Tamandua tetradactyla: one gene and its partner. The protein of the gene in region 2 binds, or shares a complex with, the protein of the main gene of each other region. Links are inferred from orthologs where the notes say so. Each region holds a gene or a part of one and is shown on either strand. Other genes may lie near its edges. The genes, in order: BMP7 and NOG.

Region 1 (15,567 bases), on a different chromosome or scaffold from region 2:
ATCAGGTGGGGCTTTAATCCCAGTTACTGGTGTCCTTCATAAACAGAAGGAAAAATCAGATGGAGAAAGAAGCCATGGAGAGCATGGCAAGAAGCCGGAAGTCAATGGAACGCAGAAGAGAAAGGAGAAGATGCCGCCGTGTTCATTGCCATGTGAGGGAAAACCCAAGGACCAAGGCTCGTTGGCAGCCAGCCCCAAAACACCACAGTCTCCTGGGAGAAAGCATCACCTTGCTGACACCTTGATTTTGGACTTTTCCTAGCCTCAAACCTGTAAGCCAATACATTCCCATTGTTTAAGCCAATCCATTGTTTGGTATTTGTTTTATCAGCTGGGAAAACTAAAACAGTGACCACTGATGATAATGTTTGAGTGTTTCTTTCTTCCACCCAACACAGACATGCTTTATAGCACTCATCTCTAGTGATGGTCCAGGCAGAGAGAGTTGGTCGGCTCACACATGCCCTGAACTTGGGGTGAAAGTGGCATTTAGGGTTTGTGTCACTAGGACTGAGTTGTCTGGGGGGCATGAACCCTTGAGAAAGGGAAACCGCACTTGAACACTTGGCCCTTCTTGTCTGCATACTACTGCACAGGTTGTTTTGTCACCTGATGTCTCCAGGGACACTGGGCCATATGATGACTCCTACCCCCCACCCCAGGCAGAGCTCTGAGGCATGCCCACCATCAATCAGTGATTTATGTTTGGGACATATACTAAAAATTAGTCATTGTTTATTTGAAATTCAAATTTAAATGGGTGTCATGTATTTTTAGGTGCTAAATCTGGCAGTTGTACTCGGTGGCCAGTCATCCTGTGAACTGGCTTTAGGAGAGGGACCTGGTTGGAAAACTAGGGAGGTAAGAATCATGCCACCCCAGGTGTGAATGCTGGCTCTGGCATTCATTTGCTGTGTGGCCTTGGCCAAGTTCTTTAACCCCTGTGCCTCTGTATCTTCATCTGTGAAATGGGAGTTATAGCATCTCATTTCAGGATTGTGAGAAGATTGGAGATAATCTGAAAAGCGCTTGACTCAGTGCTTGACACAAGATAGCTGCATCATTAAAGCCAACTCTTATTATCCTTTGTGTCATTTAAAATGAGCTCAAATATGCTAATCTTCTCAAATGACCTTTCACTGCATGAGTCAGGACTAACCTATTTGGAGTGAGGGGTTTACCTAGGAGGAGGCAATAAAGATAAAAACCGAAGTAGAAGGGATAATTAGGACAATTGAAAAAAAAAACAAAAGAATTAGGAGAAACACATGGAGGCAGGGGAGAGAAGAAAGAGAAAGGAGGGCTGGACAAGAGCACAGTGATGTAGTAATGAGCTCCTGGGGCCTTGGGAGCTGAATTCTAATCTCAGCTCCGTCCTGACATACTGTAAGGCTTTTGGCTCACACTTCCCCTCTGGGTCTCAACTCCCCTGTCTTCAAAATGAAGGAACAGAACACACCTCTGCAGCACTTTGGTTGTAACAGAAAACTCAGAGCACCGTGGCGGGAACTATAAAACACCTTTTTCAACTCATGTAACTAAAAAGTCCTGGGAGAGAGCTAGTGTGTGGGACATCCGTACACTAAAAATTATTCGATGTTTATCTGAAATTCAAATTTAACAGGGCATCCTAATCTCTATTTTTATTTGCTAAATGTGGCCGTCCTAGCCCCTCTCTGGCCATTATTTCACCAGAGCAGCTTCACATCTGTATTCCGTAATGGGCATCAGTGAAATGCTTGCCTTGACCAAAAGTTTCAGCTTTTATCCATTATCTCCCAGGGCCCTTTCCAGCAACTTGATGCTGTATCCTGCAGGGTTGGTAGCAGCAGAAACCATCTCGTGCTAACTGGCGCAGAAAAGGAGTCCACCAGAGGACCTCGGGGGGCTCATGGAACTCCCAGGAATGCTAGAGTGCCAGGATTAAGGCACCCTGGTAGGGAACGTGGCTCCAAATTGCTCTGCAGCATGGTCTAGGCACGTGCGCAGGGCGGCTGAGGCGGATGCCTCTGATTGGCTGAGACGGACGCCTCTGATTGGCTGAGACGTGGTCACATGCCAACGCTCCGGTTGCAAAGCAGGCTGGGGCCGTGCAGTTCCAGGTGGTCGCGGGTGGGCTGTGCTTCAGAAGACCGCAAATTCCCAAACATAAGAGGGGTGCATATGCAGCTGGGTGGGTAGAGGAAAGGCACTGAGAAGGGAGATCAATGGACACCCGGCTCCTAGAGAAGAAATTTTGTTTTTTGATTTTTCTGGGAGAATTTTTCGGAGCGAGTGTTTCAGATCAATTAGCAAGGACAAAGAGCTGCAGTGCCAGTGGGAAGGGAACTGTGGAGAGGGTCAGGATCAGATGCTGCTGCAGGGGTGGGCAGGTTTCACCTTGCCATCAGCCACCATGAGCTCCTTGAAGAGAGAAGCAGATGGGCAGGTGTCGCTGTGCTGCCTTGAAATGCACCATCCTCAGTGTCCTTTGGTTGCTGGTGGGGACCCTAGATATATTCTCCAAACCTAGAAGGGCCCTTTGTGAGGCTAAGGGCCAACTGGACTCAGAGGGTAGATTTGTCCTCTTTGGTCTAATGGTTTAAAAAAAAAAAAAGGAATTAGTTGTCATCAAATAAGCAATGAGAGTCGTTACATGAAAACCCAGATTTCCAGTTTCTCTTTAACAATGAGTCTGTCTTGTAACATTGGAATCCAATTCCTGGGTGTCAGCATCCACGGGAATGTGATCTCCAGCTCACCCCAGGCCGCACCCCTCCCTATTGCCTCTTGGCCGGTGTCCTTTGCCATTTGTCATCCGGACTGTGTTCATGGTTTCCTTTGGTGGAATTGGGGGAAAGTGAGTATTCCTTGGGCCTCGCATCATGGGCATTGCATCTCTATTTATGTTACCAGGCTGGACCCTGCAGGTATCTAGTGTGGGACTTCTGCTACAAAGGGGGACCTGAAGAAGAGCTCAGAGATGCCTAGGCATTCATGGATTACTGTTAGGGCACCCACTGTACGCAAGACCTCTACCAGCACGGGGAGGTAGGAGCAGGACTGACAACCCCCCCACCCCCCCCACCACCATTTCATTGTGCCCCTGTGTTTAAGGACCCAGGTCTGTACCTGAAGCCTGCATTAGAACGCTGATTTCACTGCATGTTGCCCGCTACGTGGCCTGGGGCAGGCTCTGTCGAGTATTGAGCCTCGATGTCCTCATCTATAAAATGGGGACCATAATAATGAGTATCTTAGAGGAGAGTTGTGAGGAGTAAGGAGTTAATAAAAAGCCCCTGGAATAGTAGCTGACATGTTTGTTTCCATTTTAAGTTTCAGATTATTTTCAGCTGTGACTTCAGTAGTTTAGAGCCCTGCTACTCAACTCGCCAAAGCTAGACAAGCAGCCTCAGCAGCCCCTGGGAACTGGTTATGAATGCAGACTCCCAGGGCCTGCTCAGCCTGGCAGAAGGGGATTCCCAGGAGATTCATGCATATAGGCAGTTTGGAGACGTGCTGCTTTAGGGTAAAGCTCTGCTCTCAGATCACAGAGCAAGCCAGAGTGTTTAAGAGCCTGGGCTGTACAGAAAAATGTGGCTTTGGATCCTGTTTGGTTACGGATTAGCTGTGTGCCTTTGGGCAAGTAGCTTTACCTCTCAGAATCTTAGTCTCCTTTGTGGTCTGAGAAGCATAACAGGCCCCTCTAGATTGGAAGATCCCATGGGCTAAGGCAGCAGGGCCTAGCAGATGCTTGGCAAAAGGTCAACATTTCAGAAATGTTGGCCGCTGTTATTCACATTTTGGAAGGTCAGTCCTCTCTCTCCAAAGCTGGACCAAGGATAGTAAATGCTCAAAATCAAACCAGGCTTCCCCCAATGGAGGAAGAATTAAGAGTCGTGATAATAGCAGACAGTGCTGCAGCTTCCCCCGAGCTGTGTTTGAGAACTGGTCTGGAAACCATGCCTCGGGCATCTGCTTTCTTTGGAGTGTGTGTGTGTGTGTTTTCCCTTTGGAACTGTGGCCACTGCCAGGTGTACTTAAGACTGACAGAAGATGTTTAGTCTCTTACTCCTGTTTTTTATTTTTTTGCTTGTGTAAAGAAAACTCCTGAGTGATTAAGCAGAAGGAGCCTGAACCTCCAGTGAATTGTGCATGAAAAGCAAAATCACATTACAGGTGTGTTAAAATAATTTCTTCTCCAGAGTAGATCTCTTTGCACCCACGAGTTTAAAAACCCATGCAAAAGGAATCTCTTGGACTCCTATTCTCTGCTGGGGCCTGAGGTCCCAGGTAGTCGGGTCTTGGCCAGGTGGGGTGGACAGAGGGAGCAGCCCCTGGGTCTCCCTCGGCTGTCCTGGGTGCCCCCAGGCTGGCTGAGCTTCCTCCAGGCAGATGGTGTGAGAGCTGCACAGAAGAGGAGGTCCGTACCTTGGCTGAACAATGTGCACGTCAGCAGAATTCTTTTCTTCGTTTTATTGCCTTTGAGACATATGCTGACTGGGTCAAAACGGCTTCAGCAAGATGTGACTGATGATGTATGAAATGAAAACTCCTTGTCCGGCGCTGGGAGGCCTGCAAACTAGGGGTGTGGACACTGTGCTGGCAGGGCGGCTGGCCAGACTCAATAGCGCCCTCAGCTGCCAGGCCGTCTGTCATCCTGCTGAAGCCCCAGGTGTGGGCCAGGCCGGGGCCGATCAGATTACGGCCCCAGGAGTCCAGCGTGGGGTGCCCTGGCTTGGAGACCCACAACGGGGTGGGGGGTGGGGGGTGCGGGGGGGTGGGGGCTGGCTGCCGGGGTAACAAGATAGGCCCCAGGGAAGGTCCTGGGCCCCTGGTGGCATGGGGGCTGGGGGACAGCGGGAGGATCGGAATGCAGATTATCCTTTCATCTCCAGCCCTCTCCTTTGCGCTCTCAAGCTTCCATTCTCTTGCTGGCGTTCTTGATCTCTCCAAGTCAGGATAAATTCGCTTTTCTTTGCTTGGCCAGGAAGTAGATGTTCATGAAAAGTTTCCTTGTTGTTGTTTTTAAAACTTTTGGAGGCTCTCATGCTAACATATTTTCCTTTTCATCCAGATGGCAACTGACATTTATCAGGCGTTTTCTCTGTGTCCCCAGGCGCCATTCAAAGCCCTTTACGGGAATTAAATTCTGAATCCTTGCAGCAGCCCCAGGAGGCAGGCACTCTCAGTAGCCCATTTTCCAGGTGGGGGAACTGAGGTCCAGAGGAGTGGAGACCCTTGCCCTTGTCATGCAGATGGGAAGCGGCAGCCCAGGGTGTCCACAACTCCTGCCACCACCTGAGACCCTCTAAATGGTCTCACAGCTTTTAGCTCCCAAGCCAGCATCGGAGGCAGTTCCAGCCCAGACATTGCCTGCATGTTTGCATTCATTCATTCATTCATTTACTCCTTCCTTCATTTGTTTGGCAAGCATTAATTGAGGGCCTGGCTCAACCCTGGGACTCCTTTAGGGGAGAAAGCAGGGAAAATAAAGAGCCGCCCCCTCCCCCAGCAGGGAAAGATAAGGTTAAATAGGGGGATCTTGGGAGTTCAGAGGGGACCTTATCTTTTCCTATTGGAAGTGCCTCATGAAGGGGCTCATTCTGCATTGATTGTCACTGGACAGCTGTCACTGGACAGCTATTTACTGAGCAAATGCTGGGTGTCAGGCTCAGGATGAGCTCAGAGGAGATGCAAAGAGAGGGGCAAGTCCTTGCTTCAAGGATTTCCAGCGGCAGAGAGGAGCCTGGAGGAGATGCTGACAATCCTGTACCAGTCCTTATTTGTGCTCCTGTGTAAATCCGCAGCACCCATACCTGCCCTCCTCTCCAGGCTCATTTGCTTGTAAAACAACACCCCTCCCCACCCCTCACCCCGCCAAAACAAAAAGCTTTGCGAAATGCTTAAAAAAGCAGAGACAGTGTGGGGAGCCACTGTGATTCTCATTTGCATTTTACCTCCTGGAAGAAAGGGCTGCCTTCATCTTCACTGGCCTCTGAGGTAGCAGGTATAGCCGCTTCGCCCCTGGCGAGCCAGCATGGGGGTGCATGGGTGGTGGTGGTGGTGGAACCCTTTCCCGGTCCCCAGGGCTTGGGCATTCGCTGTCCCTCTGCCTGGCTCAGGTCAACGACAACTCCTCCCTCACCACCTTACCTTGTTTATTTCCTCTGTCGCTTATCCTGAGCTGAAAGGAGCAGGTTGTTGAGTTGTGCACTCTGCCTCTGGTGGAACCTCGAGGCCACCGGCACTCTCTGACTTCCCATCACCCCCGTGGTAGCCACCCCCTCCACAATGCTCTCAGCCCACCTGTCCTCCCTCCTCACCCTCCTCCGCCTGCCTTCCAGCTGCCCAGGGTGCCAGAGAGGAAGGATGGACATGGGCTGCCTCCTCTCCCTCCCCTCCCCAGCCAAGCCTGATTTAAGGTGCCAGGTTTGCTGCCCCTGACCTGAAAGCCAGTTCCTTGACAGTGGCCACCTCACGGGCTCCTGCTGTACCCCCTGTTAGCACAATGTCAGGCCATGGGATTGCCACGTTGGGGGGCCCAGTGCAAGATGAAAATGCGGGGCCCTTGTTCATGGAATATTAAGAAATTCAAGATGGCGACAAGGGAGCATTAAACAAGTGTGGGCCTTTCTGAGCACCAGCCCTGGGGAGACTCACGGGCTGTACTCTGACCCTGTTCGGTGACCAGGAAGTGCTCAGGAGTGAAGGGCTGATGGGCAGTTCAAGGGGCCCCAATCCTAGGTAAGGGGCTCAGGCCTGGGGGCTATTTGACATACCCTTCCTCCTCACTGAGCCTCTGGCCTCTTCTCTCAACCCATGTGACCCCCTTACTCCAGCCTCTTGTCTGAAAGCCCCAAAGAGAGATCGGGAAGGCTGTAAGCAGAACTGTCTCTGCTGGAGAATACTGGAAAAGACCAGCTTGGCCAAGTTCCCCTTCATCAGCCTTCCTGCTGCAGGGAGGACCAGCCCTTCGGGCCTAGCCAGACCCTTCAAAAGTAAATCCCCTGCCCCAAACCTAGCCTTCCACCTTACCGCGTTGGATGACTCTCCATCTAGCCCACCCAACGGGAGTCACCACTTTGTATGCTTGCCTCCTCGGGGTAGAACCAGAAAGGAAGGAGGCAAGATTTGAAGTTCAACTCACGGTGCTCCCTGCTGCTCACGGTGAGGTGTTCTTCTGCTCCCACTTTTACAGAGGAGGAAACTGGGGCTCTGGGGAGCAGAAATTCACATATGGTCCAATAGCTGGCAGAGGGGACCCATAGGTTCTGAGCTGTCTGGCTCAGTTATGTTTGTGGGGAGAATGAATGAGGGAAGGTGTGGGGAGGGCAGAAAGGAGGCAAGGAGGAGCTGGCAGGTGAGGTCTCAGATAAACTAGGTGCCAAGGCAAGCTGCCTGCCCCCACACACGGTCAGGGTGGAGAACTGCGGGGGAATGTCAGAGAGTGGATGGCTGTTCTGGGGAGTTGGAAATAAATGGAGCCCAAAAGAGGAGGAGAGGGGAGGAGTTACTCCAATTTCATCTACTCATTCAACAAGTATTGCTTGGGCAGGGCAGTGGCTACCAGGTGTTGGATTTAAGGGCCTAGGGAGACGAGAGCAACCTTATGGGGAGACACACTAAAGAATTCTCCGCAAGATAAAATAATCATGTGTAAGAGTGAGGGGGCAAGCCACCTTAGCTGCCCTGGTCTGGGAAGCGCTCTGGGAGAAGGTGACAGCCAGGTAGACTGTCCAAGCACCGGGTATGGAAAGGGAAGTGAGGGGGTAGTGGAGAGTTTGAGGCAGAGGGAATTGCAAGTGCAGAAACAAGTTGGAGACAAAGTTGGGGGGAGGCGCAGCAGGGTGAGCATGGCTGCAGGGCAGAAAGCTGGAGGGCAGAGGGACAAGATGGGCTCTTGTGACACCTCCTCTGCGACTTCTCCTCTGATTCCCGCGCCTGCTCAGAGCTTCATCCATTATATCCCGGATTCCAGGGTCCCGCTCGGGCCTCCTTTCCATCCCGACTGTAAGTCCCGGGAGGGCAGGGCCGTCTCGGATTCCTCCCTTCGAAGCCCCGCGGCGCCCGACCCGGTGCTGGACACCCTGTGGGCACTCGGTAAATATTTGTCGAGCGCGCTAAAAGGGATGAATGAACCCATTGGGCGCAGTTGGGGGGAGGGCGGGGCCGAGGGCAGGTGGGAGGCCGCCGGCGCGGGAGGGCCCCTGGAAGTCCGTCCTCCTCCTCCTCCTCCTCCTCCTCCCAGGCCCCAACGCGTACCACTCTGGGGCTCCCGAGGCGGCCTCTCGTGCGATCAGGGACGCACAGGGCTGGGAAAGCGATCCGTGAGCCCTGCTTTCCGCGCCGGAGGTCGGAAGAGAGTGGGTCGCGGCCGCCGGAGGGCGAGAGCGCCGGAGGAGCGGGAGGAAGGAGCGCTCGCTCGCCAGCTGCCTCGCTGCCTCCCCGGCGCCTGCTCTCGCCGGCTGGGAGGTTGGCTGGCTGCTCCTCCCACCCGCGCCAGCCTCTTCGCTAGCTTGCTGGTTGGAGCTGGTTTCCAAGCCCCGCGGTGCGCCCGGGGGACTGCGGGGCGAGGGGCCCCAGGGCCAGCGCCGAGCCGGGGGCGGGGGTCCGGGCAGAGCGCAGCCGGCCGGGGAGGGGCCATGTCCGGCGCGGGCGCGGCGGGGCCCGTCTGCAGCAAGTGACCGATCGGCGTGGACAGCTGCCTGCCCCTCTCCGCCACCTGGGGCGGCGCGGGCCCGGGTGCCGGGAGCCGGGTGCCCGGGCGGCGCGGAGAGCCGGCGCGATGCACGTGCGCTCGCTGCGCGCCGCGGCGCCCCCCAGCTTCGTGGCGCTCTGGGCGCCCCTGTTTCTACTGCGCTCCGCCCTGGCCGACTTCAGCCTGGACAACGAGGTGCACTCGAGTTTCATCCACCGGCGCCTCCGCAGCCAGGAGCGGCGGGAGATGCAGCGCGAGATTCTCTCCATCTTGGGCTTACCCCACCGCCCGCGCCCGCACCTCCAGGGCAAGCACAACTCGGCGCCCATGTTCATGCTGGACCTGTACAATGCCATGGCGGTGGAGGAGGGCGGCGGGCCCGACGGCCAGGGCTTCTCCTATCCCTACAAGGCTGTCTTCAGTACCCAGGGCCCCCCTCTGGCCAGCCTTCAAGACAGCCACTTCCTCACCGATGCCGACATGGTGATGAGCTTCGTCAACCTCGGTGAGTGAGGGCGGGCGGGAGGGGTGCGCGTCTTGGGCCGGGCGCCGCAGGACAAGGAGGGGGCCGCCCCTTATGTTCAGTCCGCCCACCTCTCCACTCCCGGAGGTTTGCCAAGCCGCCGGTGCCTGCCTGGTCGAGAGTCCCCCAACCCCCAGCCCAAGTGGACCCCAAGCTGAGCGCGGCCCCAGGTAGCGTGAGCCGGGCTCGGCTGGCCTGTTGCTGTTATTGGGAGGGAGGGAGCCGCCTGAAGCCCCCTTGGGGTACGACGCGGGCCGCACCTCTAGTGTTGGAGGCGCCGGGCCCGGCCGCGGTTCAGTTCAAAGCGCGGGGCTCGGTCATGTGAGCTGCCCGCGCTACCTGAATTTAAAGAGTCTTTCTAGTGAAACCGCCTTCCCGCCCTTCTTCGGTGCCGCTCAGCCCTGCCCAGCCCTGTCACCGCGGCCGTCGCGGCCCCTTCCCGCCTTGGCGAGCCCCACCTGTCCCCTCGCTGGGCCGCCCGCCGGAGCGTGCTGCGCGCCCCGGGCGCCCCGGAGCCCCTCTCCCCGGGCACCCCCCTCTCTCCCGGCTCTACCCGCCGGAACTGGGGAAGAAACGTTGCCGTTGCGAGCTTTCTATTTTAAAATATTTAATGATAGGTCCCGGGCGGGTAGAATCCATTTTCAGCTTTTATCACGTGTGGCGCGCCAACCACCGGTTTGGGCGATTGGGTGGCGCGGGATCTCTGAGCAGACGCCACCGGGGGCGGCTGGGGGACCCGGATCCCGACGGTAGCCGCGATGACACCGGCGACGGAAAGCTGGGGCTTCGGCGGGGGCCCCGTGGCTCCCCTCGGTAGGGGCTGCGTACATTCTCCAGACTTGCGCAAACTAACCCCCGACAGCGCACTGTGGGGCGGAAGACCAAATATTTGATCTCAGAGATAAAGCACCCCGATAGCGCCGTTTCCCCAGCCGCTTTTATTCTACTTGCTGCGAAAATCCGAACCGAGTCAAGACAGCAAACTTCCACCCACGGGCTCTGTGTCAACATCGAAATAATGACCCTAAATCCCCACGTCGGGTACCTGGGGAGTGGATGGGGGTGGGGGAAAGCAGGGATCGGGTTTAATGCTTCCCGCCCCAGGTACCCTGGACGCCATTGTCTGTCTTAAATGATAACCAAACATCAACTAGTGAAATGCGCTTTGGCGAGCAAGGGGTGGGAGATTTAGATGCCCAGGTAAGTTCAAGAAAACTTTGAGTTTTATTAGCAGCCTGGTAGGAGGGAGGCAGCTGCACAGTCCGGATTTAGAAACTAACCAAGGTATATGAGGTGGAAAACAGCAAGGTGCAGGAATCAGTGAGTCTGCGTGTGTGTTTGGGTATCATCCCTGCCCTTCCTTCTGCAGGAAGACACCATGACAAACTGCAAATAGATTTAGTGAGGTGGAGGCAGAAGTGGGGCTGGGGCTTACCGGTGGTAGAGGGGGTTCTGATTTTTCACTCTCTGTCTGCACTTTGATCTGTGGCCTTTTTTTTTTTTTTACAGTGTGTATTTATTACCTGTAGCAAATCTAAAGAAAAATTATAAAAATGGAAAAGTAGACGTGGAGCTTCTGTTCTTTCCTGAAGTGGGGGTGGGGTGGGGGTGGGGCAGGGTTAAACCAGGACCCTTTCTCTGGCTGAGGATCCAAACCTCTTCCCTTCTGTTGGTTCAGATGGGTTCCCAGCACTGAATGAAGCAGGTCCCACCTGCAGCCTTGGGAGCCTGGCTGGGGTCGTTAAAAAGGCATTTGTAAGCCCTGGCTTCTGTAGAAGGCTCTGCAGACTCAGTCCAAAAAGTGCCCCATGCTTGTAGATTGGCAGTGTGGCTGAACCCCGGGCTACCACCCCCTTCCCACACCCCATCCCAGAGGAGTGAGTGCCTCTGGGTAGCTGGGGTAGGGCTGTTTGCTTCCCCCTGCTGTGGAGGTGGGGGTGGTGGGGGCGGTGGGAACGAGTTGGGACTCGTTTGGGAAGGCCCCAGTTGGGTGGTTTTCCTCCTGTGGGTGTACACACACCTTTCAACGCCGTTAGCCCTGTTTCTTTCATCTTGCGAGGACAAAGACCAGCTTGTCTGAGCCTCTTCATCAGCTGGCCTGGCTCTGGGCTCCGTGGGACAGTCCTGACTTTCTCAGGTCTAACTTTGTGGAACATCACTCCGAATTAGATGGTGGAGTGGCTATTAACAGGGCACGCTGAGCTTGTTTTTTCTCTCTCTCTTTCCTAAAACGAAAGGCACTTCATTAGATGAAGACCTGGAGTACAGTTTGGCAAAACTCTTCCTGTAGAGCCTTCTAGGGCTGGCCTTTAATTTCTGCTCAGCAACAACACATGCATAAAATGTCTGCCCCTTCTATTCTGCCTTGGCTCTGGAATTTCTCCGTAGGAGGGGTGGTGGTAATGGGGCTGGAGGGGAAGGGGGCAAGTAGGGCACTTGTCCTGCAGCTGAGTTTACTGAGAAAGCACACTGTCCCCTTGGCCTGTAGATCCTATCCATCCGTAATATACAAACTTTTCAAAAGGTACGTTCAGTCACACTTTCCGTTAAGAGTGAGAAAATGTCACTTGTCCATATCAAACCACTGCTCGCTACATTCAGGAAACTTTGAGGGCCCAACTGATGGAGACCTTGGTGGCAGAGGGGTAGGCTGACCTCTTGCATGCTCTGTCTGTCCTATGTGGGCGCGGGGGGACGTCAGCCTGGACACTGAAGGCTTTTGCAGACCTCGTGCATTTAATTTTTTTCTCTGTCTGCAGCCAAACTAGTTTTTGTTCCTATAAGTCGTTCTGTTCGGAATTCAAGCTTTTTGCCAGGCTGAGCGAGATCTCAACGAGAGGGGAGCTAGAGGGGAATTTACTACAAAACCAGGCACTGGGAACGAGGACTTCAGACCACACCTATGACAAAGGCCAGCCTGTGTCACGGGACCCCTGTAAGCCTCGCTTAATTGTGGGAGTGGGCTCACATCCTCCCAGCCTGGGCCCCTGAAGTTCAATGGTGGGATTTGTAAACTGGTTTGGATTAACAAGTCCCCAACTCCTCTGTGTAGACTTAATTTTGGAATTCAAAATTCAGTGACAGCCTTCCACTATTGTTCCTTTGGAAAAATTCAGCAGCTCCCTTTGGAATCTTCTAAAGAAGGCAACTGGCAGTAGGAATGTACAATTAGAGTTTATCTCTGGTCCACATTACAGAGGAACCAAACTGGTTTACTCTTGGAAGCCGAAGTACAAGAAGAGAGAGTTGGAAATCCGTCATTTTTAGAGCCAGCATCTATAAGTGGCTTTTGTTAATAGGAGCTGAAGAGCGAGGAGGAGGCCGTGCAGTTTGAGTTGTACTTCATACCATCTGGCAATCCTTTTTGTTGACAAGTGTTTGGCATTAAGAGCTTTCCTTTTGCCCCTTAAGAACAGGCTCTACCACTGTAGAGTATTAGAAAAAGATTCTGTTACAGTTTAAAAATTTCCTTCAGGGAGTGCTTTGCGAAGGCAGCATGAGCTACAGGCATTTGCAGCTGTAACCTGGCTTGTGTTAAAATTTGGAAGGGGCGGTTCCACATTCCAGCGCCCCGGCACTGAATGCGGCCTCACTGGTGAGCAGCCAAAGGTTAATATAGATGTCACACAGGCTTTCCCCCTTCTTTCTTGCTTTCTACAGAGCGCCTTCGCTATAGGAGTGCACCGACAGCTGTGTTTTTAGTAACCCTTTCAAAATCACTTCTTTTAAACCTCATTTTCCTGCTTATATAAATCAAAAGATTTCCCCCTCTTTTCCCAAGGATGTGTGACCCCAATGTGAACTTTTTTGATCTTCTATGTAATTCCCTTCTGGAATCAAAGCAGGTTAAAATGGAGCCCTGGATGCCAGCTTGGGTGGCTTTTTTTTGTTTGTTTTTATTCCAGGATTGTCCTTCGGAAGGGGTAAGGGAGGTGGCTCAGATAAAAATAGGGTATGGGCAGCAAAGGACCAATCCTCTGAGTTTCCAGAGAGAAGAAATTGTTTCTGCGCTGCAGACCTTGCAAGCGGCAGTTCAGGGCCTGGTGCGTAGTAGGCCCTCAAACTTTTGCTGAGACGTACACAGCTGGTGGGCTATCCCCCATGGCTGGAATGCCTGCGATATGAGCGAATATCACATGTCCGCCGAACCCAAGACAAGTGATGACTTCATCCCAGGGAGAGTCCTTCTCATTGATTGATCACCCCCTATTGCTTTAATTTCTTTCTTTTTTTCTTTCCTATTTGGTAAGATCATGTTTGGCTCATTGCAAGAAGCCCTAGCCCTCCCCTGCTCCACCCATCCCCAGTCTCTGCATCCACTTAACTGGCTGAATATTTTGAATGGAGGACCCTTTGTGCCAAGCGGCAGGCCACCTTAGTTTTTTTCCGCGGCCACTTTTCAGACCTCTAGTGGGGCTTGTTGACATGCTCATTTTTGGCAGGCTGTTGCAACGCTTCGTCTTAATATACTCTGGCAGTGTCACCGGGGTTAGGGCGAAGCCAAGGATGTGTGGAACCTGTCATGTTATTGTCAGAAGGTATGCGAGGATTAGCTTTTACAAAGCGGTGGTGGGAGAGCCCTGCAGCTGTGTACACTTATTATAAAAGATTTAAGTCCCACTGGTAAAATCAATATATTGAATTGCATGACCCTCTGCTTTTAATTAGTTTAAATCAAATGTGCTGGTGCCATTTTGCCTCCTCTCACCTTCCTGGGGTGAGGAAATACCAATATTTACACAGAGACTGCTAATTTGTCATGAAAATGATAACACATTTAGCTTTACGCCCCCAAATTGCTCCCCCTTGATGGATCCAGGCTCAGTCCAGAGCTGAGAGGTGACATCACCAAGGGACAACATCAGGGTTGTCTGTTGCTTGGAGTCTGGGTGCCAGGAAACAGGTGGGCATTTCATCAGGCTGGGTGGCTGAGGATGCAGGTCTTTTGAGAACTCTCTGCTGTTTTCATTCACAAGACAGAAATACCAAGATTCACCTATGTCTTCTAAATCCTAAGCAGTCCTACAGAATCGCTAACCAGGCACTTGATTTCTTGGCTGTTTTTTTGAGTCTTTTCTCCCAGCACACTCGGTCTTTTACACTGGGCGGCTCAGGGCACGGCACTTTATTTATTGCAGAGCTTCAGATGCTTTTCTTTCCAATTCATGAAGCAGTTCGCAGAGAAAGGGGGGTTCTTTCATTGCAGATAATTCTGGGGACGATCATAGCTATTATACGAGTCGTTCGCTATTAACTGTGTGCTCAGCTGCGATTGAATTCCGGGTTTTGCAGCAAATGGCATCTGACAAATAATATCTGACAAAAATGTGATGTGGTATTTCTTCATATGGAACAGATATTTCATAGTTAACTTTCCCTGGCGAAAAATTGCTCGAACCCGAAGCGAACCAGGCAATGCGGATGCAGACCAGGGCTGCCTGTGTGTTTTTTGCCCGTCCAGAGTGGGGGGTGGGGTGGTTTATGATCTGGGAGGACATGAGCAGCACATGACGTTTGACATACACTGTGTGCGCCTCAGAGTAGCGTGTGCGGTGCCGTGCTTTCAGCCTTTGGCTTCAGAAGGCATTGTTGGGAGCGGCACAAAGCCATCGCTGATCCGCGTGGAGTGGATTGAATTAATGACAACTCGGAGAGTACCAGTTTTAGGGTAATTGCTTTATTGTTTGGGAGCCAGGGCGCTTATAATCCGGTTCCTGTACAAACATGTTTAACGTGTGTTAATGCGTTTCCAAACCAGAGCCTCTCAGCACAACCCTGCTTTTCATTAATTGATGTCGGTAGCATGGTACAGTATTTCAAAGGGCTGGCCAAGTATAAACTGTGTTTCCAATTTCCTTCCTTTCCTGTGTTTGGAATGCCAATGTTAATTTGTTCCCATGCATGAGCGGGGGCTGCCAACCGCGGCTTTATATAAAGGGCTTCACAGTGAAGGCTTCCAGCCCTCACTGATGCTCGGGGTTGCCTGGCCAAGTTTCCTGACACTTTGCAGCTAATTCTGGGTGATATATGGAGTGGGGGGTTGAGGGGTTTCATGGCCCTGCAACGGAAGTTCTTGGTGACAGCAGAGGGTGTGACTTGGCGAGGGAGTCTGGAACCGGCATTCACGGTGATTCTTTTTAAGACACAGTTTAAGCCCACATGTCAGCTTCGTTGCATATTAGCTGTGTGACCTTGAGCAAGTTGCTTGACATCTCTGAGTTTGTTGCCTCATTTTTTAAAAGGAGGGCAAGAGCCCCATGAAGATGCAATCATATGGCACACAGGCAGTGCCTGGCACATGGTGGGCATGCAATAAGTGATAGCCCTTGTTTTTATGGTGGTGGATGGATCAATATCCACTTTG
Region 2 (13,611 bases):
CCAGAATTTTTTATTTTTATGTTGATGTGTATGTACCTAATCGTTATAAATTCCCATTCTCTGGGGAAGGCCTCCCAGCAGCTGCATAAGTTCATAGATACAAGCTGTCAAAGCCACAGAAGACACCAAGATCAATTTCCTTCCTTTTAGGAGATAGACTCTAGACCGCAGAGGGCAGCTTTCTTGCCTCTCTGCCCAGAGTTCTCTCTTCTTTTCCGCGTTGATGCTATTATTAGTATTATCAGCCTTAATAATAAAGGAAACGCAATTGGCTGAGCGTTAGTCACAGTGTCTCAGGACCAGCACCTCCTTCGTCCCCTTCTGGGACCGCCTGGGTCCTGCTCCGTCCTCTCTCGGCGCCCGGAGCCGCCGTGGGCCTGCCCTTTGGGTCTGTCCGACCGGTGGTCTGTCCATCGCGCGTCACGTCTGCAGCCCGGGTCCTCCCGACGCACACTGGGTCCTGCTCTGAAAGCCGAGAAGCTCGCCGGCTGCGAGAGGGTTTTCCAAGTGGGCAGGGGTGGGGAGGAGGGGCGCGGGCGGGCGGAGGGAGGAGGGGGCGCCGCGGAGGGGAAGACCTCGCATTGTAATCCAATGACATTGCCAACGTGGGGGTGGGGGAGCTGGCCTCGGCGCGCTCTCCGAGTTTTGGCTGCCGGCCCAGCTAGGAATAACTCTCTTCGCATAATTCGCGTGTTTACCAGGCATGAAAATTCTTGCTTTCGGCTCCCCCCCCCCCACTCCCCGTAAGCCCCCTCCCCGTCTCCCCTCCCCACCACCTCCGCCCCTCGCAAGTGAAACTCTGTCTAAAAAAATATTGGCCCGGGGCACAGAAAGTTTTGCATAAATTCATAAGTGATGAATGGCTGATTTTAACGTTATTTGGGTATTTGTCAGAACTTAACAAATATACATGGGGACGGCGGTTCATAAACTTAAACATCTCAATATCCCCTTTCTTCTGGAAATAAATTACGTTTGTTTGCCCGGCTTGGAGTCTTAAGGTAGCCGACATTAGGAATATTTTAAAAGCCATCATCCATCGAGCATGTCTCCCAGGCGCCAGGAAGATTAAATGAAAGAATCATAAGATGGAGGTCTTTAACTTTTAATCCTTTTACAATGAAGCCTCAGATAGTCGCGGGGGCAGGGTGCCCTCTCTGGGGGGAATAATGCCGTTATTCCTCGGCTCTCAGTTAATGAATACCCTAACGTCTGTCCCACGGCTGACGGAGGCAGCGCCGGGGAGGGGGCTCGGGCTCCCGGGCCAGGCTATTGAAACGAGGAGCCACCGAGGCTGCGTCGGAAGGGAAGAAAGCGCCCGGCTGGAGGGACAGGGCGGGCGGGGCCGGGGGCATTGAGACTGCGCTGCGGACCGGGCGCAGGTTTGAAATAATTAGCATAGATTCGCCGGGAGTCCGGCCTGGGCAGGGGGTGGGGGACAGGAGGGAGGCGCGGGGAGGTGGCAGGGGGGTGGGGGAGGGAGCAAAGGAGAGCGACTTTGGAGTCCAAGATAAATAAAGGGAGCGCGGAGCAGTGTCAGAAAGCCGGCCCACGTGGAGCTGCGCGGATGGGCGCCACCGCGGACTGACGCCGAGGGACGCACGCGAGAGTCAAGCGCCCGCCTCCGAAAGTTGGCTTGTTGAGGGGTGGGGTGGGGGTGATACTTTGCAGGTCCCTTCAAGGGGTAGCATGTCTCCCGCCCCCAACTAACCCTAAAGCTCAAAGATGCCGATTCTTATTCCTCCCCTTTGCCCACCCACAAACGGAGTAAGTGTCCAGAGCAGGGGCGCACCCCCTCCCCAGCAGCGGATCCCAAGCAGACGTTTTTCATGCAAATTCAGCCCCTTAGGAAACCTCCGCCCACAGAGCCCTCCTAAGGTCCCGGTGTGGGGTGGGGTGTGGGGGGGCGGTGAGTGTCAAATCTCAAGCTACTCCCAGCACCTCCGGCCCAGGGTCTGGGATTTCGGGGGCTGGGACCTGCAAGATGCCGGAGGCTGTGTGAGTGTCGATTCCAAGGGATCGCCTCAGCGCTCACCTCCTTAGCTTCCGGTCGTAAAAAGGGTTAACCCGGGCTGGATATCAAGGTGGGGGGTGCGAGGCCGGAGAGGTGGCGGGACCTGGGTGGGCGCGCTCTGATCCACTACCCCCCCCATTCCTCGGGGGTCAAGTTTCAGCGGCACTCCGCCCCCAGGGTAGGTGTGAAAGACACGTGTCCCCATTGTGAAGGGCCTGTCAGGCAGGACAAAGCGGCCGCCCACCCTACCCCCCCCCCCCCCGCCTCTCGTCCCAGCCTGGGGTCAGCTCCAGGGGGCCGGCTGGGTGTCGAGGTCACGTCAGGCCCAAGCTTTGGTGACATGGGGGGGAAAAGCTGGGAGACTGGGCGCAGGCCACGTGATGCTCAAGTGAGAGGTTTGAGAACAACCTCCCTCCTCCCCCTCCCGCCTCTGAGCAACTCAGCGGCCACCTCCATCAGGCCAGAGGAGGGGAGTCGGACGGGATGAGCCCCTTCTCCCAACAGGCGTTGGCACAGCGGCACCCCCACCCCGCCCCCCTCTTCCCATCAATCACCAACACAGAGAATCGCAGTGTAGAGCGCAGTCGGTTTTAGTGGTTTTCTTTAATCCTGCTCTGCACTTCTCATTTACTACACGGGATATTATAAAGAATAAATAGCAGATACTCTTAATTTACAATGATTAGTCATTCCATTTGTTCTCTATATTTACAATAACTGTAAAATAACATTGAACTCTATAGCTTCTTCGAGGTCCAAGGAAAACCAAAACACTTTCCGAAGAATGGAAAATAGCTTTTAAAAAGTCCTTCTACAAAAGTTTCTCACTCTCTTTGTACTTTAAGAAAAAAATAACTTTTCCCCCCTGCTTCGCCATGCGAAGGGCAATGAAATATAAATAGCAGGTTAACATTATTAGCAACAACCAGAATAAGTCTCTTTGCTCTGATCTTTTTTTCCTTTTGCTTATTATTATTTTTTTAAAAATACAGTAGAAGCCGGTAACTTTTAACGTATAATACTGACCTTTTAATAAGTAAATTAAAACTGGGACCGTATATACACACACACATATACATTCCTACACAGTTAAACAGTGCATTACATGAACCAGAAAGCTAGGTCTCTGTAGCCAAAAAAAAAAAAAAAAAAAAAGTTCATTGAATCCACTCGCGAGAGGATGGTGGAACTGGTTGGAGGAGGTGGCGGGGGGGGGGGGGGGGGGGCGTCGGTGGGGATCGATCAAGTGTCCGGGTGCGGGCAGGGGGCCCCCGAGTTCTAGCACGAGCATTTGCACTCGGAAATGATGGGGTACTGGATGGGAATCCAGCCGCAGCGCTGGCCTCCGCGCCGCTGACAGCGCCACCGCAGCACGGTGAGGTGCACGGACTTGGACGGCTTGCACACCATGCCCTCGGGCACCGAGCACGAGCGCTTGCTGAAGCAGCTGCCCACCTTCACGTAGCGCGGCCAAAAGCGGCTGCCCAGGTCGTTCCACGCGTACAGCACCGGGCAGAAGGTCTGCGACCACAGCCACATCTGTAACTTCCTCCGCAGCTTCTTGCTTAGGCGCTGCTTCTTGCCCGGGGCCAAGCCCTCGGAGAACTCCAATCCTTTGATCTCGCTCGGCATGGCCCCCGACGGCCGCTGCCGCAGCAGCTGGTCCAGCTCCGCCAGGTCCTCGGCGCCCCCGGCCGCCCCCACGCCCCCGCCGGGCCGGTCCTCGGGGGGCGAGGTGGCCATGAAGCCCGGGTCGTAGTGGCCACCGAGCAGGGAGCGCAGCAGCGTCTCGTTCAAATCCTTTTCCTTGGGGTCAAAGATAGGGTCCGGGTGTTCGATGAGGTCCACCAGGGGCAGGTTGTCGCTGGGAGCCGGGCGGATGTGGAGGTAGTGCTGGCCGCCGGCCGGTGCCGCCCGCAGCCCCAGGACCACCACCAGGGCGTAGAGGGTGACCCCCAGGCTGGGGCAGCGCTCCATGCCTCCGGCGCGCGCCCGGGGCTGCTGCTTCGTCCCGCGTCCCCGGAGGAGAGCACGCCGAGCCCGCGGCGCCTCCGCCGCGCTCCCCTGTCTGTCCGGAGGTGGCTTACCCGAGGCTGGGCAGGCGCAGGGCGGGCAGCATGAGCCGCTGGGAGAGCCCTTCGCGCAGCGTCGGCTTCCACCCGGGCGGAAAAAAGGCACACAAGTTGGCTGCAACTCCTCTCTCCGGTCTATTCGGGAAGGCGGCCGCGGCAGGGCATCCGAAATTACTCCAGGGCGACCGCGGGGCGCTGGGGGCGCCGACTCCTTGCTGCTTTCCCCAGCCGGCGGCGGCGTAGGGCGCGTGGACGAGCCGCTCTCCCCTCCTCCTCCTCTTGCTCCTCGTCCTGCCGCTCTGTGCAGCGCCGCTGGCCGAGCGGGTCCCGGGGGCACTTCCCTCCGCCTGCTCCGGGCTCCGTAGCCGGCTTTGCCCAGCGGACTCCAGCAGCGGCGGCGGCGGCGGCGGCGGCGGCGTCCGCTCACGTTGGCACCGGTTTGTCTGTCTCGCAGGGTCCAAGCCTTTAAATTTCCTGCACTTTCAGCTCCATCACCATGGAAACCACTGACTCTCTGGGCTTTGCCCCCTCCCCCTCCTTCCCCCCAAACAACAACCCCACCCCCCACTTCTCCACCCCCGAGGAGCTGGAGCCGCACAGGCTCAGGGGGAAGCCGCCTGCATTCGCCGTGGAGGCGGCGGCGGCGGCTTCGGCAGCGCCCAGGGCTGTGCCCCGCCGGACCCAGATGCCCCGGGAAGCCGACAGTCCGACTGCTCGCCCCAGCTCACAGGCGGCGGCGGCGGCGGCGGCGGTGGCGGCGGCGGCGGCGGCGGCGGCGGCAACGGCGGCGGCGGCGGTGGCGCTTGGCAGGTCTCCGCGCAATTTTCTCTCTCCCCCACCACCCACCCCCCTTCTCCTCCTCCTCCTCCTGCAAAATGCACCGCCCCCCTCCTTTCTCCTGGAGCAATGCAACTGGGGCTCTAGGCGCCCCGCCAGGGCCAGTTCTGGGGAGAGCTCGCGGTGGCGCTGGAGCCGGGCTGGAGGGTGCAGGGCCGGTTTGGGGGTTGGGGGAAAGACTCGAGATGGGGCATGGAGGGCTCTTCATTAGCTGGGTGCTTTGCACTGGGAGGGGAGCAGCGGAGAGGTGCCGGGGACTCGTTTGTCCGTGCGATTCCGAGCAAGGAATTTCTCCATGTGCACTAAGCGTTTTCCCCGGGAGCTTCTCGCCTTCCTCTCTCCCGGGCTCGGTCTCTTGACCCCTCCCCCAACGCGCGCGCGCGCGCGCGTACACACACACACACACACACACACACACACACACACGCACACGGTGTGCGTCTCCCCTCCCCAACACACACACACATATATGGTGTGCGTCTCCCCTCCCCAACACACACACACACACACACACACACTCTCTCTCTCTCTCTCTCTCTCTCTCTCTCTCGCTCTCTCTCTCTCGCTCTCTCGCTCTCTCGCTCTCTCTGGCTCTCTCTGTGCCCGGGGAGTAGTGAGCCGTAGCATTGCCTAGCGTAATGTAGTAATGTAATTCATAGGAAAGGCTTCTGCCTGTCTGCAGCCCCCCCAACCCCCCGCCCGGGTCCAAGAAGGGGGTCGGCTCCTCACCCTCCTCCACCTCTTCCTTGGCCAGGTTCTGCGCCCCGAATGGCCGAGTCACAGGGGTGCGTCCGCTCGCTTGCGGCTCCCCTGGCCCACTGGGGATCGCGCGGCAGCCGCTCGGCTCCCTGGTGGCGGCGCGCCCTCTGCTGGCCCCCGGCTAGCCCTGCACCTGGCTCAGGCGCGGGCGGCCTTAGGAGGTGAGCTGTCAGACGACCGCGCTGCCCAGCTCAGTTTCTGCTTCTGTGTCCTTGTCATTTCTTGTGTTTGTGTTTCTGCGTGTATTGATGGGTCCTTTCTGGTTCTCTCGAAGCTCTCCAAGACCTTCAGCGTAAACAAACTTTCTGAGATTCCTCCCCACGCCCCTCACATTTCACACAGATCTCTTGCACACCTCTGCCTCCGCTAAACCGGCCCGGTGGAAAATAGTGGGAACCAGAAACTTAAAAGATGCACTGACAAGAGGGGGGCCTGAATCCCGGCTGGGGTTCACCCTGACATAACTATGTTAACCTTGGACAAGTCACTTTCCCCCCATATATCTTAGTTTCTGCATCAGTGAATTACCTTGCTGGGATTCTAATAAACCTGCACCATACTTTCTCTTTCAGAAACAGTTTATCTTTGGTGGAAGGTGGGTACTGAAATGATACTTGCGGTTAATTTTTCCCTTGGATGAGGATGTAGCCTTCACAACCCAAGTGGAGTTTCCTTTGTGGTGGGATGTGATTGTAGTCTGGCTAAAGCTTGAGAAAAGAGACATGAAGCGTATGATTCAAGTATTCACCAGTATTCCATGGAGTAGAAGTTTTGAGGCCCCTTTGTGGCAGCCTAAACCACTCCAATTTCTTAACTCAGGGATCTAGTTCTCCCTAACAACCTGTTCTGCCCTCCGCATACACACATACAGAAGTTTTTCTGCTGTCTAGGAAGAAAATGCACTTTGTTTCACCGAACATTCTATCTACAAAACCTCAGCTGTTGTGAGGGATGTCAGTTTTAGATGAAAATGTCTTCCTACACTGTCAAGTCTAGACAACAACTAGAATTGGTCTAGCATGGTACCTGTCAAAGGAGAGTTTGCTTTGATGAATGCTGTAGGTAAGAATAACTCATTGGTTGTTGAAATTGGATTGATTCTTAATTAATGTGTGATTTGAATCTGACACATAGTAGGATCTTAAACAATACTCCTTTTTTTCTGATATGTTTGTTTCCTCATGAAGATTAATCGCTCAGAGCAATCTTGATGATACTATGAATTAACTAAGAAAACAATTTTTTCAGTAAAAAGTTCAAAGGCAAATTTTTAGCCCCCCCTTGGTAGATTTCCATAGTGACATTTTATTGTACTGTTTTCTGTTCCATCAGTCTTCCTCTCCTCTCTTACAAATCTCTGATTTTTTTTGTTTGAAAACCAGCCCAGACCCCTTAGCCTTTTATTTAGGTTGGGTAGATTTGACTGAACAGTTAAAATTTTTTTGAAAAGCCCCCTTAAAAACAAAAAAACAAACCATGTCTGAGATTAGATTGGGCGACCTGTTTATGTTTTACAGACACACACTTGTGAAGACCATGGGGTAAAAAGACAAAGGAAAGAGGATTCACAGTGGATCTCCACCTCATTCCCAGGACGCTGATGGTCCACTCAAGGAAGATATGACGAACATATCAAGAAAACATTAAAAGAGCATGGGGGGAAAAATCCGTAAATTCCTAATAACAGTGTAGAACAGTGTCTCTTTCTTGATCAATATAGTAATTTCATGCCCTCTTTTGAATGTTGTTTGAAATTTTATAATTCCTTATGCTGTGCAAAAAGAAGTCAGAGGGATTGTAATGTTAGATACAGTGTTTTGGAACCCCACCTACCCCTCTTACGGTGGTGGTGAAACGCGACCTGGGGAGAGCCTGGAGCTCCCCACTCTGTACCACACTGCAATAGCTCATGCACTTAGGTGTGGAGGGAATAGAGGGGTGTTGGCATCAGAAACTAAGCCCTGCCAATGCCTTCATGGAAGAACTGTGCTTGAGGAAAAAAGCTACATTTGCTTGAGTAGGAAGAGGAGGAAATTTGAGATATGTGCATATATGTTATGAGTGTGCTTGAAGAGGAGGGCCACAATGTAGGAGGGGCTGCCAGAAGATCTGGGGGTCTGGGTGGTGGAGGAAGACTACATCACAGACAGTGGAATTCAACACGAAGATGACCGGTGGACCAGGTGACTCTTGGTTGGAATTCTGGCTTTGCTACTCTTATTAACATAGGCATGTCAACCATTCAAAGCTTCCGTTTCCTCATCTGTAAAATGGGGATAACACACGCTTCCCAGAATTGTGTCATTTAAAGCCTAACCTAGCACAGTGTGTGAGGCACACTATATAGTGGGCAATAAACTTTCAACACGGTTGTTCTTTGGGGAACCCCACTAGCCTCAGCGGGCCAGTCATCCTAGGTTTGAGCTGGCCAGGGCTGAAGGAGAATGGGGATGCTGTTGGAAGCAACTTGAACACCTTCAGGCCTGCTTTCCACCCACTGAACATGTGCAACTGAGCTACTGGTAGCTGCCATCCTTCAGGAGTTTGAAGGAGGGGACCTGGGATTTCTTTGGGGACTCAACAGCTGACCTATTTCAGTGCTTCTGCTGCTCTGTGAAAGAGGGAGCTTGATAAGCAGGACAAAGAGGGTTATATTTCTTCAAGATGAAGCTGTGGGGTGAGAGACGGACCAAGGGAGGTAGGACTATCAGCACAGCTTTCTGCTCAGGTTCTCACTGCGAGGAGTGTGGGACTTCAGTGGGGACTGGCTGGGGACTCGGCCTCAGCAGGCCCCATAGGGAAGAGACCAATGGATGATGCAAACATGGGCCCATGTTTGGCTCATCTCTCCAGGATGCCTGTCCTTGAAAAATGCTGGGCAAGGAAGGATGGAAGCACTCCTCTGCACAACTGCATCGATATTTACAGGTGGAAGGCCAGAGCAGCCCGATGGTGCACTGAGCATCTTATTTTCACTATTATTCTAGGAAAAGTCCAACAGTCTTCTCGTATCTTTGGCCCTGGAAACATGGATCTGAGGCAGCTGTGGGTGATGTGCAGAGGGCACGGTGTTTAATGTTAGGAAGCCTGGGGCCTGCCAGCTGTGTAACCTTGGGGGAGTCGTTTTAGTTTCCTGGCACTCCCGAATACATAACACTGTGGAGACATCAGAGTCTCTGTTCTTCCTGCCTTCGGCTGCGCTGCTGCTAACATTTGTTCCCAGACGTCCGGGGAACACAAGGCACTGTAAAGGAGGAAGCATAAAAACTGCCATCTCTTAAGTCCGCTGTCAACCCAGGCACATGAGAATCATCACCCTCAGATTCTGACTGTCTCAGATTCAACATATATGTTGAATTTCATGGACTTTCTCTTAGACTCAAAATAGCATTTCTTGGCCTGGCCCAATTGAGCAAAGTGAGGAAGAGTCAGCCAGCAGGTTTCCTTTTTTCTTCTCCTAACTGCCCCAAGAAAGGGAGAGTGGAGATGAAGTCCCTCTGATTGGGGTCCAAACGTGGTGGATTTAGCTTAGCCCCCGTGGGTGTTGGCAGGAGCCTGGCCAGATCAAGACTCACAGGGTGGGTGTAGAGACCCACTTCAGCTTCACAACACCTTATATGTTTTTTGTGTGTTCAGTGTTGATAACCTTCTAGTTAGAATTATGAAGTGTTGGGGGTTGGTGTGTGTGTGTGTTGGGTGGGTGGGGGGAAATGTGCGTGCAAAAGAGGGGACACATAAGAGGAGAGAAAGAGAGCAAAGGGAGAGGACGGAGTTCTAAAAGGTGGGCTGGGGTGGAAAATTGGTAAGTAAATGTGAAATATATTTTCCTGAACAGAGATAAACCTTAACAGCACAGGAGGAAGGGCGCTCAGGCTAGCTTTCTCAAGCCGGGCAGCCCCTTCCCTTCCTCAGTCTGGCTCCTGCTCAGCCTGCGGCCCCCTCCCCATCTGGCTCCACACTGGGGAAGGGGAGACGTCTCTGGAGCCCGGTGGCTCATTCATCTCCTGATAAACTGTTTATCTGAGTTTTAACGAGGGCGCCTCTCCTCCAGCCCTGGAGACAGAAGCCTCTGCGTGTTTAGCCGGCCCTGATGTGGGGGGCCTGGGGGTGGGTGGGGGCCGTGCCTGCGGGCAAATCTTCTCCCCTTTCCTTGCTTGCACAGGCTCTGAGCTTGGCCCTCAGACCCCAGCCTCACAGTGCATTGCCTTGGCAGAAAGCTCGGTCTAGGATGGAGTCAACGTTTTCCCACGCAGAGGAAATCCCTTTTGCCGCCGCTCTTTCTCCGTGCCACTGCCTTGAAAACTGTGTGTGTGTATTCTAAATAAATCAGCTTCGTGGACACTTACCATTTGTGACCCAGTATTTTAAAAGGCGTGAACTCCTGTGGGGATTTACATACAGCCTCCTGGCCAAACGCACAAGCCCCCCCCCCTCCACTTGAGCTCACATTTCCCCCACATCCCCTCATCCTGCTGACACAGATATTTATTGAGATAATATGGTCTAGTCACCTTTATCCCCTCAAAAGCTCAAGATAACAAGGAGACAGGAGCTCAGTGGAGTGAAAAATAAAGTGGAAAACCATTCCTGTTTCAGGTGAGTGGCATGATTCACGAGTTCCAGCTACTGAATCCATCAACACACATATTCGCACCTTGGAATTTTTTTCTCTAGCCACGACTCAGTCTCTTCACCAGCCAAGAAGGGGTGCGGCCTTGTATGGGCTGCCCTGGGGGAGGGACATCTGTGCTTTCATCTGTTCACCAGGTGTGCACCCCAACTTCAGACAAGCTGCTGTTCGAGGAGCGAGATGCAGCCTTTGCTCTTGGAGAGCTGAAAGATAACAGGAAAAAAGAAAAATAATCCTCAGATTACAATTCAGGGTGTCAGCTGCCATAGTGAAGGGTTGGGGAGAAGTGTTGGGGAGAGAAGGGGCTCAGAAAGCAATCCCCAGGAGATTGGGTTGGGTTCTGAAGAGGAATTCACAGTCCAGGAAGGAAGAGGGGGAGAGCACTGCGTAGAGGACATTTTGGGCAGGCCTGGGGAAGGGGCCGCGTCTTCCAAGTCCCGGGTACGAGTTGGCAGTACTGAGAGTTGGGGTTTGAGGGGTAGATGTCGGGAGAGCAGGAGCCTTGCACGGTGGGCCACTGAAGGACCTTGGACAACTCTGAATCCCATTTGAATTTAGACTTGGGTTTAGAAATACTTGTAAGAAACCTTAGGCATCACATCAGCATGGCAATTGCAGGCCTTAAATATTGCAGGTCAGCCCTATTATAAAAAAAACAAAACGAAACAAAATGCAACTCGATTCTGAAGTACATCAAGACTGAAACCCAGGCTTTTCAGTCCTAACACAGTTGTTTTTAACATCAATGCAACACTATCTCCTATGTGCAGAGAAAAATTCCTCAAAAGAGCAATAAGTTTATAAATCCTTATTTGTAATGGGCACCCCTAAAGAATGGGCTAAGTGCGTGGGATAAGAAGAGGGGATGAGAAGCTCACTTTTTACTTGATCGTGTATTTATGTAAATTTACTTTAAAAAGCACACAAAACAAACAGCAGTCACTATTTTTGTATTTAAGGAAAAAAACAATACAATCTTAAAAATCCATGAATTTAGAAGAAATAACTTGCCACAGACATTTAGTAAAGCTGGAAATGGTATTTAAAATTCTAGGTGTTGAAAAGATTTTTGCAGCCAGCACCGGGCTGTAGGGCTGACTCCTATTAGGTGATCTTAAGTTTAGTTAAATGGTTCAGTGCTCGGGTGTGATGATGAAGTGAGGGAGAAGCATATTTGGTCATTTGGCTAAAGTGAGGAGCTTTCGTGTGCAGGGGTGTGTGTGTACCGTGTCCGCTAGTATGTGACAGATGGTTTCAAGATACCTTAACCTCCTATCTCAGGCATTGAAGGAGAAATCAGAGTGCTTTTAAAATAAAGCAATACCTGCGTTAAAACCCACCACTGAGCTGAGAAACAACCAAACGAAAATGCACCCAAACCCAATCTCACGCTTGATCAAAATTCTGCAGTCTGGAATGAGTTTGAGGTGGGGGCTGGGGACTGGAAGGAAGTAACCCTAACTGATTGTTTGGAAGATGGGGTCTCCCATCGACTACAATAGGTGCTTTCTCGTCAAGTTTCCGATCTTAGGAACAAGGAGGTAAAGTTGAACATGTTTTGGGAATTTACCATTTGCTTTATGAACATCACCCTACCTAAATCTCACATGAGCTTCTGGAGTAGGGACAGTCATTTCCGCATTTTATAGGTAGGGAATTTGGAGTCCAGAAAGGAGAGGGGGCTTCCCCAAGGCCACCTCCTTTGACTCCTGGATCACCTCTGGAGGTAGCTAGAAACTTCTTGGCTCAGAGCTGTGGCACCCAAGGGGGGGCTTCCTAAATTGCCCATCTATCTGCAGCTCTCTTGCTCTGAATCCATATTTGACTTTTTTCAGGGGTCATTGGTACCAGCAGGCCAGGGAGACTTACTAGTGGGCAGTAACTTCTGGCAACCTGGTCACATAGGGGAGAGGGCTCATTTCATCTTCCGCTCCCCGCCCTCCCATAATGGAGCATGACTGTAGTAAAACAAGGCTTTTGATCAAGCTTTTCCACATCACTTTCAGGACAAACAATGTTCCTGAAGCCCCCAACTGGTTTTATTTTTCTTATATCTAAGGTTTCACTTTAGTGTCCTCACCGAGCTTCATTAAAAAATACCCTCCATTAAGAAAAAAAAATCATTGAATTTCTTTATTATAATTCATGGAACATACTTAGAGAAAATGAAAGGGAGGCTTCAAAGTGATATTTAAAAGTTCCTTAAACTTCTGAAAGGAGTCCCCATCTTCCCTCTAACCCATCAGGCATCCTCACCTACTGCAGAACATTTTCAATCTGTCCTTTGGCGTAATAAAATAAGATCCTAAGTAAATGTATCGATTAAAATAAAAATAAAAATAAATAAAACAGTGGCTCGTCTCTCAGCAGCACGGTTGGTGAGCGGGCATGTGTTTCAACACAGGGATTTTGTAGCGGGCATGTGTTTCAACACAGGTATTTTGTAAGGTATGATTCATTAGTTACCGGATTTTTAGGAAAAATTAGTTCTATAAATTATTGTATACATTTAAGTTAAAAAGTGTTTTTTTTTTTGTTTCCATGCATGATAAAAAAGATAGATAAGATTAGAACTGGGACCAATATTTTGACCCCTCCTGTGCCCTCCCCACAAAATGAATCCAGTTCACTTTACGATTTTTAGACAAGTGTCACACAAGGGCTTACCCATGTTAACAAGTTAATGTAAAGCTTGATTAAATTCACATAGATAATCCCTAAAATGTGAGGCCCTTGAAGTGCCTGGAGGTGGTAAGGAGGGAACAGGCTGGTAATGAGGCCAAGTTGCCCTTCCAACTTCATTTTCATTTTGCATCATTTCAAAAGTGAATTACCTCAAGAGTTCAGCAACATACATTGAGAAAAATGCAAAGCTGCCTCCCTCACCTCCTCAAGGATTTGAGTCACTGCGGATGAGCCTTTAAAAGGTAATTAAGAGGCAACGTAATTATCATGCCACAGGGGTAAGAAAATCCTGGCAGATCACATTCTATAGAACTCTGCTTTTCTTTCAGCCCCTAGCCAAGGAGGGATGGCAAGCACATTTTAGACTAAATGTTTATGGCTTAACCTTTTTCAACAGCATGAATGTTTACTTCTAAGTTAGTCCTATTGTCCTGTCCATGATTTTAATATTCTTGTTCTAAATATTTTGACAGCAAGGCAAGCCTTGGGACATTTGTCCTTATTTAGGGACTTCAGTTCGGAGCTACGATCGGTGGCGGGATGGCCAGGTGGGGATTTGGTGAAGTCTCTGCTAGGTCCTAGGTGAGGTTCCCTCTCTCACCAAAGTTAGCTTA

The links.
Region 1: the proteins of NOG (region 2) and BMP7 are in contact, whole or in part, in a crystal structure (PDB 1M4U), measured with the Homo sapiens proteins. The link is inferred for Tamandua tetradactyla from reciprocal best matches to the Homo sapiens genes NOG and BMP7. Residues at the interface, in NP_005441.1 of Homo sapiens: His29, Tyr30, Leu31, His32, Ile33, Arg34, Pro35, Ala36; in NP_001710.1 of Homo sapiens: Phe365, Pro366, Leu367, Asn368, Ser369, Asn375, Ile378, Val379.

Annotation. Positions count from the first base shown.
Region 1 is NC_135327.1:28,162,640-28,178,206, forward strand, and holds the start of BMP7 (bone morphogenetic protein 7), read left to right. Parts: upstream 1-8,767; coding exon 8,768-9,185; intron 9,186-15,567. UniProt on the Homo sapiens protein: Growth factor of the TGF-beta superfamily that plays important role in various biological processes, including embryogenesis, hematopoiesis, neurogenesis and skeletal morphogenesis.
Region 2 is NC_135332.1:37,564,040-37,577,650, reverse strand, and holds NOG (noggin), read right to left. Parts: upstream 3,992-13,611; coding exon 3,293-3,991; 3' UTR 3,240-3,292; downstream 1-3,239. UniProt on the Homo sapiens protein: Inhibitor of bone morphogenetic proteins (BMP) signaling which is required for growth and patterning of the neural tube and somite. Essential for cartilage morphogenesis and joint formation.